2 linked regions of the Oryzias latipes genome follow. The protein of the gene in region 1 binds, or shares a complex with, the protein of each later gene. Links are inferred from orthologs where the notes say so. Each region holds a gene or a part of one and is shown in the gene's direction. Other genes may lie near its edges.

Region 1 (8,032 bases):
GACAAGTTTCTACGACTAGCTAGGTTGAACTTTGACCAATCAGGGGTTTGGATTTGGTTGTAGCGTATAGATGGCGTCCCTTTTAATTCACGGAAGAACCAACTGTTTGAAAATTGATCAGGAGAAAAGATTAATTGCGATTTGTGTCCGGACGGAATTCTATGACAACCAAGCCTTTCATAAGTTGGAATAGAGCTGGGAAAAAAGAGCAAGATTTGCAAATATTCGTATCGCTTCGACATTTCGTACCAAACCTCTTCCAACTGTGGCTGGCTGTAAAAAATGAAGAAGAACCCCTTCCCTGCTTGTCCGGTGTGAAACATAACCCGTTCTTGAACCCGCGTCACGTGTACAGTAGCTTTACATTAATAACAGTAGGGGATATGACTTTAAAAGACTGATAAAAATATAAAATAGATTATTTATATGCTTTTTTTAAGCCTGTACCTGATTTGTATTACTTATCAGGACTTTTAACGTGTTACAAAAAGTAAAGAAGTGTCTGTTTGATTGACTATTTGGTTGTTGTTGTTTTTAATTCTGTTCCTTGGCAGTAAATCTTATTTATGTAGGAAGGCTTGATACCCTTTTTAGTGGAGCTATATTTAAAGGAACACACATTGTAAATGGTAAATGGTGTAAACTTATTTAGTGCTTTTCTACCTTTATGAAGCCCCAAGGCACTTTACAGTCACAGTTCCATTCAGCCATGCACAAAGGGGACACAAGGATTATTTTTGGGTCACAGATGTGTTTCAGTTTTAAATATGGTTTGTGTATTACAAAACAAAAAAAGTAAAAAAATGAAAAGTTTTTTTTGAATCTGCTAATAAGCAAGAAATAATGAAAAACCCTCCAGTTGAATAATACTGGTTTAATGCAATAATTACAAATCCTTAAATTTAGCACGATGCGTGTTTGACACTTCTAAAGTAAACATACTAATACAGCAGAGATGGCAACGATTAGGTTATTGCTGCCAAACACTGATGCCAACTTCTAACCATCAGCAGCGCTGTGGGATTCATAGTCTAACACCCTTCAACATACGGGAAAGTTAGACAGGAGCCAAACCTGTGGGCTTTCCAATTAAGATGTTGACCGCTCTGCCTGACCGCTCTGCCACGACGGCAGAGGTTTCAGGAAGTGAGAAGCAGAAATCTTCAGATAATTATTTCGTTTGTTGTTTTGAGTTATACAAATCCCAGGAAATGGGTTAAGCAAACCCACTCGATCATCTTTTGATCTCCTGAAGGATTGTTCCTGGTGCTCTTTTAATTACGATTATGCCATTTTTAGCTAAAATCGATGTTGTTTTTATCAGGACAGTTTCTGCAGAGTGGCAGTAATTCCTTAAAAAATTCGCCTCCGAGGTATGGGCGAGAACCGTTGCTACGGAGCAACCCCACCCCCTTTCCCTTCCACCGTTGCTTTTTGGGTAAAATGTGGAAGCTAAAATCTCCATATCTCTTCTTAGGGATTGCAAACAGTTACAGCACATATATGTTAGTTCTCCATTATCTCTATGCACACCTGGGTGTGAGCAGGTCGGGGAGGGCCCGGTACTCGTTTCTGCTCCTGATTCACAACAATTTGAATTAAAAAAATTCTCAAAAATGTAGGTATGGGCTTAATTTTCTTTATGAGTTCTCCATTATCAGTAAAAAAATCTCACAAGAACACCAAAAAAAACCCAAATTTCATCATACTGGGTATTTAACAAAGAATAGTGTGGAAGACCCGGACAGATACAAGAGTCTCGTCTTCATTCTGGTCACACACTCTTATAGGGGAGCGGTATCCCGACCTTTAACCTTCATAAATCCGACCACACACATTGACCCCCTGGTTTTGTCATTCCATTCTCTCTGCTCCCAGTATTTTTTTTCTTCTGAGGCAAACCTGACGGCTCACAAGTTGAGACATTTGTTTAAATCAACCAGACATTGTTAAAAAAAAATGTTTTAAACAAAGGAATGCTGAAAGTCCCTACAAGTTGTTTTAAAGCATTTAGACACAGTTTTTCAACACCATCTCGAAATTTTAAGACTTGCAAAAAGGGAGTTTTTTTGTATTTGTCAGAAAAGTTCCCAAAACACTATTTCTGCTACTTGTCCTATTCTTATCCTGATTTACGTGATCAAAAATATTTGGATCGTTGTTTGTTCCTTTTAGCATCAAGCCAAAGCATCTTCCTGGAAGATGCGTCCACGAACTGCACTTCCAAACAGTTTGTGCCCATGATGTGCCAGACGGAGTTTAAACAGCGGGATTCAGACTCGTTTCGTGACCTGAGATCTTCACGGAAGTGACCCTTGAACTCTGTAACCATACCCAGATGTTTCCAGCTGATGTTCAAAACACATTTAGGTATTTCGCTTAGGAATCCTTGGGAATCTGGAAGCAAAGGGTGAAGCCAAGTTTAAAGAGGTGATGTACAAAATGTGGCTACAGCAGCACATTTGGAGTTTCCTCCACATTTCTAGTTTTTGATCTCAAGGTAATGACATCCCTTAAAAAAAATAAAAAAAAAATAAAAAGGAGGACCATCTTCGAACCATTGAAGCCCACTCCAATCACCAGAGATACCACCGGGTACCAAGAAGAGACAGTTCGGTGACGATGCCAGTCCCTGTCGAGCGATCCGCTGTACACCCACCACAAGACTTTTCCAAAGACATGTTTGGGCATTTTCCAGGAAAAAAACAACCAAGGGACGTTGCTGACAGTGTACAACTGCCTACATGTGTCTTTGCCTGTCAGAAAACAGGAAATGGTTTGGGAATTACCGTAGTACCTGACTTGTTTAGTGGTTAGTGGTTGGCGCTCTTGCCTCACAGCAAGAAGGCCCCCGGTTCAAGTCCCAGCTGGGCGACCTGAACCACAACATCAATGGGGGACCTTTGTGTGTGGAGTTTGCATGCTCTCAAGTTTGCATGCAAGGGTTTTCTGCAAGGATTCTGACTTTCTCTCACCATCCAAAGAAATGCTTCATAGGATAAATGGTTACTCTAAATTGCCCTAAGGTGTGAATCTGAGTGTGCATGTGTGTGTGATTTGTGGCCCTGGGACAGAATGGCGACCTGTCCAGGATGTCTCCTTCCTTCACCCACGGGTGGTCGGGATAGGCTCCAGCAGCCCTGTGACGCTATCATGGGACAAAATGGTTTTAGAAAATGAATGAATTGTTTAAAAAAAACAAGAGTTTTGTTAGGTTAGAACTTTGTATATAAATGCAGTTTGGCAATACATTTAATAAAATATGCAAAAAATATATATGTGTTTTGTTTTTTTTACTGTCAGATGATATTGGTATATATTTTTACAGACTATAGAAATAAGAAAGCTTAACTATAAATGTGTCCAAAGTGATTTTAAATCGTACTCTTGTTGAGACATAGTGGGAGAAGCTACCCCTTAAAATCAGGACAATCAGATTATCATAATAACTCTGAAACATGTTGAAGCAAAGTCTTACAGTTCTTTGGTAATCACCTTCATCATCACCATCTTCTGTGCAATACAACTTTTTTTTCAGCCTTGTATCAAGAATTCATCCAGTTTTTTTAATTATTATTTTAGCTAAAAATAGGCATATGTGTACAGTTGCTAGAATAAAGATCATCAAATAGCAAGAGAAAGAAAAGGAATCAATATATTTAACGAAGACAAATGTTTATTGTCTCTAAACAACAGTAAATATAATTTGTGTGTGTAATGCTACGTACACACCATGTGATGCGTGTTCAAGATCGCACTTTTAGCATTAGGAGGGTGTTCACTCTGGACTGTCCCTACCTGTTACTAGCGCATGTACTCACAGTTGTCCCAGTGTAACTTCTGACATTTCACGCAATGAACGTGAATCGAAGAAGCGCGACTTTTAGTGCACAACCGTGCAAAGCTGCTTCTATCTGCGACAGAATCAGCGTATTTACGTTGATGGCGTAACAAAAATGGCGAGCGGTATTGAAGCTATCCAGCTGTACAGTTTTGAACCAGCTCAGATGAAGAAAATGAAAATGTACATGGATGTAGACGACTACACGTGGCTGCATTAGAATATTGTGGCCTGCGTTGTAGGTGCTACGTCACATCTACAAGCTATTTCATACTGCACGTTTTTCGTCCGGTCCTGATTCACAACGATTTGAGAAAAGAAATACTTAAATGTTAAGCATAATTTTCCTAATATATGTCCTCCGTCATGAAAAGAAATGCTACAAAAACGTGTTAAAAACACCCCCAGATTATTTTTCTCATTGGAGTGGGTCTTTGATATGAAAATCTTTGAGGTAAACCTGATTCTGAGAATCACCCAGATAGAAATATGTTCATTTTTCTGGGGAGTAAATTGGCTTCCTTCCAGAATCCACTGACTGATCGTGGTCCAACCTGTTGATAAGTGGATGCGCAAAGCCCGGTAAGAACGCGCCGTCCGGATGAGGGCCACTGCGGCGGCGCACAGATGTTTTGGGGGGACCGACCGGCGCGGCTGCGCACTGCGTCTTCAGGCGCCGATAAATTCGGGCAATCAGCTGTCGCTGTCCGGTGACGGAAGTGCTGAAATCAGAGCGCCCCCCATCTGATCTTCCTCCTCCCTCCGTCACCATCTCCGCCGCCGGTCGCCACTTGCAGCCATTTTACGCAAACATGTCGTGAGCGCGCCTCGCTCCGTCACCTGGAAGGGGGCGGAGGTGGAGAGCCAGCAGCTGATCGCTCCCTAAAGGTGGTGGTGGTGGAGGTGGAGGGGGGGTGAGCGCAGAGACGGAGCCGTCAGGTCCGGGCCAAAATGGTGAAGAGGAAGAGCCTGGATGAGAACGAGCCGGAGTGCGGGAAGGGGATCCCGTTCGCCATCCAGACTTTCCTGTGGAGCCAGACCAGGTCGGTGCTCTGATACATAACAGGTGTTTGTCGTCGCTGCCGCAGCTCTCAGGGCTAAATCCGACCAAACGGAGGGGGAAGCTGGCCAGTTCTGAATGAGAAGCAGATGATGTCACACTTGTCTTTTACCTGATCCCTTCCTTTTCTTTCTTTCTTTTCCCAGCGCTTTCCTGCGTCCAAAGTTGGGGAAACAATATGAGGCATCATGTGTGGTGAGTCATTTCCTGATGTGGATCAACATAATCCACTAATCTCTTTTACCTCTGCGCACCTGCAGGGCATTTTTTAAATGATTTTTTCACATTTACCAAATGGATTTCCCCTCCTGGAAACTCATATCCATAATGGCACATCTTCTAGATCGTATCCTGTAGTGCTGTAGGCTTTTACCCACTTTGGCACCATGTGGGACATTAAGCACGTTCTGTCTAATCCCTGTCACCTGAATTCTTTTTTTTTTTTTTTCCACCCTCGCCAGTCTTTCGAGCGGGTGCTGGTGGAGAACAAGCTGCACGGACTTTCCCGGGAGCTGTCCGAAGCCATCCAGAGCATCTCCCGCTGGGAGCTGGTTCAGGCGGCGCTGCCCCATGTCCTCCACTGCACCTCCATCCTGCTGTCAAACAGGAACAAACTGGGTGAGGAGGCGTGAGCGCCGTTATCTGGGTCGTCTGTTTGCAGAAGAGTCCTGATCCTCCACTGGGTACCGGCTGATCAGATTACAGAAAGACAAACATGTTTGAAAAGACGTGTGTTTCCCACAGTGAAGGGCTACAAATGAGATGAAAAGATACAGAAAAAAAGTCTAACAACACCTTGAACGTACAAGAACAAACCTCTGATTGAAGCTGCATCAATGCATGAATCAGACTTACGGATAATGTTGCCATGGCAACAAAATCCAAGATCTCTTTTTGTCAAATAATTTAACGAACTGCCTGTTGTTGACAGGAATGTTGTACATTGGAGCTTTATGGCCGTGTCACACAGACACTAGGTACATTTTGCACATATTGCATGGATAAAAATTGGTAATACGCGAATATGCGTGAAAAACGGGAGAAAAATTGTTTTTTTTACGTAAAATTATCACAGATGTGTCACTAATCAAACAAGCTAAAACCCAAAATATGTACGAATAAATCACGCAAAGAACAACGTAGAACATGAACCGAGCCAGCTTGTATATGCAACTCATTCGTGATTTTTTTTTAGCGATTGCATAATTTTAACGTTAAATGTCCGCCGTATACTCGATATAAAAGTTATTCATTAGTGGTCCATGCTAAAAATCACACAAAATTGCGTAATATGTACGTAATAATAACGTAAAAACTACGTAAAACACGCGTAATTCTTAACTGACCAAAAACTTTGAACAGCTCAAAACCGAACTCACGTGAAGTCCCGTCGGCTAGAAACCTTCGACGGACATCTGAGCACATCGATAAATGGCGAGCGCAAGACACACTTATGAATTATGTATATCACACATGTATCACGAAAAACTGAAATTTTACATGTGGAAAATCCACAAAATGTACGTAGCAGCAGCGCTGGGGGCGTCATCCTTTAGCTCTAGTGTTGACATTCCTTTGACTACGTGACTCTTCAAGCATTTAGGCAATTAATGTTGCTCCAGCAGATTCCAGACACTCTGCAGTAGCGAAGTGCTTACGCAATTAACGTACATCGACGTAAGCAGCTTTGCACTTTTATGCACGAAAAGTCGCATTTCTCCAAGTGAGAATGTGATTCACGCTGATCGTGTAAACGGTCAAAGAGTACGTGTTATTTCGTTGTCACCAGCAACATCTTCAGCGTTGAATAGTTAAGTTTAGGTTCCACCAAGAGCTTCTCAGAAATGCCCAAATTCAAATTTCTACAAAAGTACAAAAGAATTCCTGAAATGATTTTTTGAATGTCACTCCATTTTTTGTGGATCTTTGAGATGAATCCACATATACCAGTGCCAAATAAAAATTATTATTGAAAAAACAAACATGGTTCAAAATTTCGCGTTTTGCCATGGTTACTACAAGTTCTATACGATTTTATTTTATATATATTTTTTTGCTTAAGGAATTGGTCGCACACTTGATGAACGCAGTCTCTCATAAAAATATTTATGACTAACATTTAAAGTCCCACACAGACACCTTTTTTCCACACGAGGTTGCCATGGCAACACACCTGGATGTGGAAATGTGTGATAAGTCCAACAACCCCTTTGGTATAATGAAGCTTGAATTACCATCCAAAGGTTAGCTCGATGTTTAGAGCAGAAAAAAAGGGACAAATGCACTTGTGGGTGCTTTCAAAGCTCAGAGGAAAAACATATCTAACCTCCAACAGGCCACCAGGACAAGCTGGGCGTGGCTGAGACCAAACTGCTTCACACTCTGCACTGGATGCTGCTGGACGCCGCGCAGGAGTGCAACCATGAACCCAGCCTGGGCCACGGCTGGTCCGGAGGCGGCAGCGGAAGCAGCGCGTTCCTCCAACCAGTTGGGGACCAGGGATCCTCGCCGGGGGCTCCGGGCTCCAGCCCGGGCTCGGCTTTGATCGGGTCGGGACCTCTCCACGGCAGCTCTCTTCAGGAGGAGGACGAAAACGCCCGTGCCAAGCTCTTCCACAAGAGCATGGCCACCGTGGAGCTGTTTGTCTTCCTGTTGGCGCCGCTCATCCATCGCATTAAGGTTCAAACATACAGCCGACATCTGAACTTTTGTTTTTATTGTCAATTTGCCTGATAAACATGAGCAGGCAGGGGTGGATTTTGTTTATTTGGGGCCCGGGGCTGATTCAATTGGGGGGGGCTTTGTTGTTGTTGTTTTTTTTTACTATTTACTGCATATCAAAAACCTTTTTTTTTAAATCAATTGTGCCTTTGAACCAAAATAGAGCTAGCGAGGCAAACATAAAATATTTGAGGAATTTGTCCTTTTTCGAAAACTTTAATTTAAGCTTCTTTAACTCTAAAGCTACACTAAATCTGCTTTCTTGCTGGTGCGTTTAGCCCATTATGCTCACACTGGACAAGCAGGGAGCAGCTTCTTCTTCTTTTAATACTACTTTCTAGCGCATGTCCACCACCGACAGTTGGAGGAGGCTTGGTGCCAAATGTTGAAGCTGTACAAATCTTGTGATT
Region 2 (7,917 bases), on another chromosome or scaffold:
TTGTTTTTTCTATAGTTTTCTGCTTCAATTGTGAAACCGGAATAACAGTCCTACTGTAACTTCCGGTGGCTTGAAAAGTCAGACGTACGCTGACGGTCGAAGAGGCCTTTTTATACCTGGAAGACTCTGCAATGATCAAGCGCCCCCTAGTGAACAATTGACGGCGATGTGAGTGGTTTTCTACCCTGAGGTTTACCTTTGGTTGGATCAAGTTCCTTTAGTATCCTGATGAGGGCGTCTGGATACATAAAATTGGTGTCTGTTGTTGGAAAGGCTTAGAAATAATATTATCAAAACATACAGAAAAACGGAAATGTTACAAATGTTATAATCTAAAACCTCAAATAGGTTGCCTCACAAAAAACAGTCAGTTACCACAAATTATTTGTCCTGTAAAAGAATTTCTTTAAAAGTGCACAATTAGGAGCAATAAGTTGCTATAGCCAATCAAGTAGCTTTAATTTTAATATTATATGTCTTCATATCTCACATCTATTTAATAAATTTCATATTAAATTCATGATTAATAACTATAAATTTTTGAATAATATTTTCCACTTCAGAACAAGCTAAACCATTTATGACAATGTTTTATAGTTAGGACCGTTCATTTTCTGTTTTCTTTTTATTGTTATTGTTTTCCAAGATACAAAGACTATTTAGAAAATCTTATTGGAATACTTTACTGTACATAAGTTTATTGTCTTGTGTGTCCTTCATTAGATGTTTTTTTTTGATAAATTCAGTTTTATGATGCTTCCTGAAGCTTTTGTTTAATGACCAGATGATTATATTCTCCCCTTCCTTTTATACTGTATACTACATATGTAAACAAAACTGAGCTTCAGGCTTATAACAGTCCTTGGTTTATATAATTCTCCAAATTCATTTAACTTTAATCCTTAACTGGACAGTGACAATGGCTCTATCCCAAAGACAACTCACTGTGTTTACTTAAGTATGTTTATCACTTGAAGGCAACTCCTCCCAGGAAGCATGATGGGAAGTATTTAAAGTAGATGTCATCTGCTTGGATCTCTGAAGCTGTGTGGAGGAACATCCTCTTTAGCTGAACACTAAGTGTTTGACTTGAAGCAAGGAGGATGATCTCTACCTTCAAGAGACCATCACTGACTGGACTGCTGCTGATAAAAGCCATTCAACAAACCCACACATCAAGAATCTACAGCAAGCCACCAAAAGATAAGATTGGACCAATGGTAGGACTGCTTAGTTTTGATAACATGATGAAGATTTGACCATTGTAATGTGATAATTATAACACCTTACAAAGAGGTTGAATGCAGCTAATATCTAAAAATTGCAACATTCATATCAATTTATCCTATAAAACATCACTATCAATTATTTATTTCCTCAAAGGTCTGTATCTTTAAAGCTACACTTCGATGAAGGTAACCAGAGGAATCAAAGCGTACATTCCTTCAAGGCCAGCAAAGTAGAGAACATGTTTTATTAATTCTGTGTACATATGTCAGTTTCAGAATCTGGCCTCTGAAAAAGAATGCTATGATGAAACTGCAACAGACCAAGCCGGCATTTATGCTGCTATAAATCTGCTGATCTGTCCTCGGGGACAATCAGAAGGTTTTTTACAAATGGCATCTGAAATTAGGAATCCCAGAGTGGAAAGAGACACATTGATGGACCGCGGCAAGAAAAACATGTAAAAGCTTTCAACACTGTGTAGTGAAAGCAGATGTTCAACTTTTTTTATAGGGTGAAAAATGTGGACGACATAACAAAGTAAATTATTCTGGTTTACTTTTTTTCTGTGTTCCAGAAAGCAAACTTTTAAAAAGGATGACTCCTGTTCTTTTGCAATTTTTCTACAGCAATCTGTCTTTGCCCTGTGCGTGTTTGCTGTGACTCTCCTTGCCCCAGCTGGATGGATCATGCATCACGTTCCAGAGTACCGACAGAGAACACCTCCACATCCATGACAGCTGAGAGAACTCTGCATTTGGAATGACCCCCAAGTTTGTGCAGCTTTTAAGACAAGATGCCACTTTGGAACTAAAAGATGACGGAGCGTTTGATACATATTCTTTGCAATACCTGGTCAATAATGTACTGTTTTAAATAAAGAAAAATGTATTTTTAGTTTTTTTTTTTGCAGCTACAAATACACATCAATAAATCCCTTGTACAACACACGAAAACCTCCAAGTTGGGTTGCTTTTAACTTGAGAGTTGAAAAGGAACATACTCTTTTCTGGGTTGGGTTAAAATGAAACCACTATGAAAAAAAATGTGTTGATCTAAAAAAAACATCCCAAAAACCTATGCAAACATAAATATTTCAAGAACTGGGTTGGGTGAAATGAGAAATATTCTTGATTTTTAGAATATTTTTGTTGCTGCATTTTGTATCCCATGTTTTATGGTGCCCACATTACTAATGACGTTTTTTTTAAATTGCTCATGGGGACTGATAATGGAACAATAGGTTATGAATCAAGGCTGATTTATAGAAAAACTAAATTAAGGTATTTATTATGGGGCTCACCTTAGGAAAGTATAAAAACACTTGCAAGTACATTAGTGTATTTTGTCCAAGACATGAACTGTGTGACAACCATCTGTTGCACGTTTTATATGCATCTTTTACATGCAGCAGATGCACAGGGATACGGAGGCAAACGCACAGTGTTTTTGCTCTGCTTCAGATAAGGAATCGTTTCTTGCAAATTTTGAATGACAATTTGTCAAAGCTGGATCAGTCCATTTGGAAAGGTGTGACAGAAATATGACATATAGTTGATTTTTTTTTCTGTGCGTCAAAGAGATGTAATTGTCGAGTTTAAAAATAGGATTCAACAAGGGGTTTGTCCGTGAATGGCATTTAAAAACGAGCAGGAAAACGACGCCAACCGCAACAAGATCCGTTCCGCCGAGTGGTACAATCAAGCCGTGCCTAGTCTGGCTGCAAGGAGGTATTTCCACTTTTTCGCTTCTGAGGAACGTCGGAGAAAGAGGGTGGAAGAAAAAGCTGGGAAATCAATTGACAGTCTTGGTTTTATGTCTCTCCAAGTGTCTGCAAAATGTCTACCAAGGCAGAGCAGTGTAAGTACGGCTTTTTGTGTGTGTTTTTCCTGTTTTCTTTGCGAAAGCGCTCGGTGGAAGCGGGAAACGTGGATTTTTGTTATGTTTTTGCTCCCTTCTCTTTTTGTCATGAGCAAGAACGCGAAAAAAACGGGGAGCTGTCCTTGGTGATGAAATCGCGGTTGCCAAGGCAGGTTGCAACACGTCCTCTCACTGCGGCTGGAGGTTTCAGTGCGCAGAGACAGCCACTGTTTCTGCCTTTTTAGGCTATGGGTGGAAAAAGAAATGCGCTATCCTTTTTTTGGAATGAAAATGAGACCTGTTATAATTGCTGTAATTCTTTTTGTTTTTGATTGACGTGACTGGGGAATGGAGGGCAAAATCGGGATGGTCTCAAGGTCGACTTGATTGTATGTAAGACCGTAAGACTTGATTAGAATTTAAATATGTTCCAACCCCCCCCCCCTCTTTTTATCATTTATTTTATTGCTTTAAAAATGGGTGTCCCCACACACCTCCATTTACTTAGACATCAGAATTTCAAAATACATAACCAAAGATGTCTATTTGCATTGAAAAATGAGGCACTTGTGCTGTGTGGCCGCCTAAACTCAAGCCACAGTTTGCTTTACAGGTCAGACTGGAAGCTAAACATCAAAGTCACTGAATATGGGTCATGTGTTCCCCACATCAGCTTTTTTTGAAGTCTTAATTAGCCATTGCAAAAGTGACATCTGACACAACATGGAGCTAGTTCAACAGGAAGGGGCCAGCTGGTCTCGGTGCTGCTGCATGTTTGAAGGCAGGGAAGCCCCTCTCATGCTCAAGCTGAGCACATTCTTTTCAGTTTGTCTTGGGACTTGAACTGACAACCTTTTGTTCATAAGTGTATTTCTGTAAGCAATAGGTTACTGTCTCCTCTGAGGCTTCCTGTGACTTAACTGCTGCACCATAAAGGTCACCTGGTTAAGGCCAGAGAGCCATGGGAACATGGACTCTTTGTTTAACTTGATAATTAAAACACTCATGTTCTATATATACGGCGGAGCGACACACTTGGGTCGCAGCCAAGCAACAGGAGAAACACACAGTGTTTTTATTTGTGCTCTTGCGCAGCTGCATATATTCTGCTAAGAACAGGATTTGCTACCGTGTTGATTTGCTTTGTTTGATCTACTCTGCTCTTTATTTTGTCTAGTTGCCTCTAAGATACGATACTTGCAAGAGTATCACAACCGTGTGCAACACAATATTTATCCTGTGCCCTCCGGAACAGACATTGCAAACACACTGAAATACTTTTCCCAAACGCTGCTCAGGTAAGTAACCCGTTCCAGAGTCATCAGATGAATTCACAGACTTAGCTAAACACCTATAGCTTCCTTCACCAGCAGATGAGACTACTCACACCAGGTTATCTCTGCACATTTTTCCAAAATAAAAGCCTCAAGATTAAATGTTCTGATAGAAAATTAATGCTAAATATGAGTTACCATGCCTGTTCTGCTGTATTGGTGTTATGGTGTTGTTCTGAAGCATAAGTAAAGACGGATAGGTCCGTGATGGTTATTGATTCAGCGGCCAGTTGCTAGATGAATGCCTCCCTTGGGCAATCTGCTTCCATGTCCTTTCCTGCGGGGCTGGCTTCTCCAGCTTTGCAGCCGCAGGGTCAGCCTGCTCTCTTGGGTTATCTGAAAGCTCGAAGAAGGAAAGGAATGTTTTTTTCTACAACAGGTCAAGAAGGCAGACATTTTAGACACGTCCTATTCTTTAAAATGATGTTAAACTAATGAAGAGATATTTTGGTATTGCGCTGTTATTTTTTTTAGCAATTTTTTGCGAAAGTAGCACTAGTTTAATCATTTTGGGAACAATCTATTAGAGATTGGCAGCTGGCCTAGATTTGGTGCTTTATTCCTCAGCTTCGAAAGGATTATTTATCTGCTGCAGGGTATCTGGATACTTCCTACATTGGTGAGGGGCTGCCAAGCACCAGCAATCACTGTGCTGTTAAAAACATGGCCTCTCACGGCACTGATTGAGCGTGACAAGGGCTGCATCTGTGGGAATCAGTGTGAACTCAAGTAACGATTTTGTCTCTGAGGGAAAGAATTCTCAGACTAAGATGAGAATCACTCAGCAGGAGTCCGCTCTCACCACAGCCTCAATATTTTCCCAAAGCCCAACCTCTTAGCATAAGATATGCAGGGAAAATCACTCTGCCTGCCATTAGAACAACGTTGTTTCCTCAGCAGGGACTCTGAGATTATTCTTGCACCTGTGCCTCCTAAGGCACTGAGTGAAGGAAAACATGGTAAGAAAGACAGAGTTAGAAGTAGTGAGCCTTGAAAAGTGGAGCAGGCATGTGTCATTTTATTTTATTTTTTTTCCGGACAGATGAGTGGTCAGTTGAGGTTGTTGATTCATGCACTGTTGGTTAGAAGATTAGAAAAAGAAGGCTGCAAAGCAAAAATAGTTGATCTGTTTCCTAAGTGCCTCATTCACAACAAAATGGGAAACTGTAGTGCATAATTATTTGGAGAAAAGTTTAGCAATTGACCATACACATATTCCACAATTTAAGTCATGCACACAGTTGACAGGGCAGGGTTTGACAGTAAATGTACGTCATATGTCTGTGCATTTCTACATGTGTTACTTGTCATATGCAAATGTTTGTGTGTGTATGTGTTTGCGTGCACATATGTGTGTTTTTTGAATGTCTAGCGTACGTGTGTGAGCGGGTCTGTTTTTGTCTATGTTCATTGTTCAAATTGAAGATGTTGTCTCTATTATAAACAGGCGGTGAAAAAGTCATACTCTGAGGTATAGTCTGCTTTTGCGACTTAGTCCTTTAATGAGTTTTATAACAAACCGTCGCTGACTAAAATCTTAGAGTATCACTTTGAGGGGATCGGTCACATGTTGTAATACTATGTTCTGGTGCTCAACATTATTCATCCAACACCATGTCGAACAATTTCAATGCAATCCCCTTTCTCACTTGCCTTGGAGCTCCAAATGTAATTTTTGAGTGTTCTTTAAAAAAAAGACAACTGTAGTAGATATTTATCTATAATCTGGGCTCTCATGATAAATCACAACCATTTGCCTGATAGAACAGCTTAGCTCTTTGATAACCATGCAAAAAAAAAATAGAGCAATGCTCTCTGGCCCCTCCTTTCCCCTCTTCCTTCACCCTAGATGCTCCACACTCAACCCAACTAGTTTTTGCTTTTGTTTTTCCCTTTCTTAAAGTCCAATATGTCCACCACCTTCCCCAGGGGACAGCAAACACAATTGTCCATCCTGCATTAGCTCACAAACATGATACTTACCAGTCATCTCCCCTTTGATACAACCTATTCCTTTGTCATTCTAGTTTTTTCTCTACTGTAGATTAGTTGTTACATTTATTTTAGAAACCTGAATCCATATGCCTGTTGGATCTCATTATTTACTCCGATGATACTGGTGCAGTATCATAAAGTATGCATACGGACATTATTTCTCTGGTGCAATAAACATGTGCTGTGATCTAGGAGCTCTTGATCTAACCTCACACACATGTTTATTACAGGCTCAAGCATGTTTCAAAAGTGCCACCTCTGTATTTTCCCGAACCAATTTGGTGTCACTCCCATCCTTGACAGCCCCACTAAACGCAAAGAAATTTCACAGTAAATTGCATTTCATGGCTCATTGGGCTTTCTGCATAGCATCCAGTGACTTTGCTGATTGGAAGATGGCATTCACCGAGGGACAGTGCTTTCTTTGCTATTGTGTCCCTTCTGTTTTTGGAGAAGTATGGGGTTGCCACTGAAAACATGCCATTTTTTATATTTTTGCTCCTTGTCACCAGATACGCATGAGATGCAGTGATCATTGCAGTTTGTGGTCATGTTTTTTTCCTCGTTGGTTTTGTTTAAAAATGGAAAGCAAGTCCAAACTAAAAGTGGTTGAAATGAAGTCATTTGGAACAGACAAAGCAGCGAGCAAATTACCCATGCTTTCATTTCTGTACAAAAATAGTGAGACACTGCATCCTATGTGGGGTTTATCTGGGTTTGTTTTTTTCTATTTACGCTGTCTCTGTAGTGCCATTTCAATGTAATGTGCTGTTTTTTTGTGTCTTTGTTGTCTCTTTTTTTCCCTTGTTCCCCTCTCCCACCTCCCCTCCCCTCCCCTCCCCGCCCCCGGAGCAGCATTCTGTCCCGCACAGGCAGGAAGGAGAACCAGGAAGCTTCCAATTTGGCCGTGCCCATGACCATGTGTCTTTTTCCTGTGCCATTCCCACTCACCCCATCTCTAAGACCACAAGTCAGTTCCATCAACCCTACAGTTACTCGCTCCCTCCTTTACAGCGTTCTGCGCGATGCCCCGTCAGACCGCGGGGGGCAGGGGCAGCAGAGTCGGGACGCTCAGCTCTCAGAGTACCCCTCTCTGGACTATCAGGGCCTCTATGTGACCCTCGTGACCCTGCTTGACCTGGTGCCCCTGCTGCAGCACGGTCAGCATGGTGAGTCAAGGCCCAAGTGCACCACTGTTTGTCATCATCATCCACGAGCCGCCTGGCCTGCATGAAGCCACTGCTGCTTTTTTTGGCCTTTTTTGTAACGGGAGGAGAGAAGTCCTGCTGAGGATCTTGAGGGATGCATGGGGTGATTGGGAGCACGCTGGATCCTGTCAACCGTCATAAGCCATTGGAAATACCTGAAATAAATTGGCCTTTTCTTCTGTGTATCATACCTGAATGCATGTTTGTTCAACTATGTGGGAGAAATGTTTACTTGTGTACTGAAAAACAATGGGAAATGTAATAAAAAAAAGATTAAAGGAGGGGATGACTTT

What was found.
Region 2: the proteins of unc80 (region 1) and unc79 are in contact, whole or in part, in a cryo-EM structure (PDB 7W7G), measured with the Mus musculus proteins. The link is inferred for Oryzias latipes from reciprocal best matches to the Homo sapiens genes UNC80 and UNC79. Residues at the interface, in NP_780719.2 of Mus musculus: Gln23, Thr24, Trp27, Ser31, Leu34, Arg35, Pro36, Ala80, Pro83, His84, His87, Ser94, Asn95, Asn180, Ala183, Leu187, Phe190, Leu191, Arg337, Leu340, Gln341, Pro342, His343, Arg1317, Asp1320, Glu1321, Asp1324, His1545, Val1546, Asp1547; in XP_030102533.1 of Mus musculus: Thr120, Tyr123, Ser127, Ala130, Thr131, Leu168, Ser169, Ser172, Met175, Ile176, Gln179, Tyr180, Tyr207, Tyr211, Gly212, Pro213, Ser214, Val390, Cys391, Glu394, Glu402, Phe405, Arg472, Cys541, Asp917, Phe920, Ser965, Glu966, Phe967, Ser968.

Annotation. Positions count from the first base shown.
Region 1 is NC_019860.2:15,017,153-15,025,184, forward strand, and holds the start of unc80 (protein unc-80 homolog), read left to right. Parts: upstream 1-3,709; 5' UTR 3,710-4,792; coding exon 4,793-4,884; intron 4,885-5,047; coding exon 5,048-5,096; intron 5,097-5,362; coding exon 5,363-5,519; intron 5,520-7,236; coding exon 7,237-7,580; intron 7,581-8,032. UniProt on the Homo sapiens protein: Auxiliary subunit of the NALCN sodium channel complex, a voltage-gated ion channel responsible for the resting Na(+) permeability that controls neuronal excitability.
Region 2 is NC_019880.2:12,388,342-12,396,258, forward strand, and holds the start of unc79 (protein unc-79 homolog), read left to right. Parts: upstream 1-2,645; 5' UTR 2,646-3,065; coding exon 3,066-3,087; intron 3,088-4,264; coding exon 4,265-4,385; intron 4,386-7,271; coding exon 7,272-7,585; intron 7,586-7,917. UniProt on the Homo sapiens protein: Auxiliary subunit of the NALCN sodium channel complex, a voltage-gated ion channel responsible for the resting Na(+) permeability that controls neuronal excitability.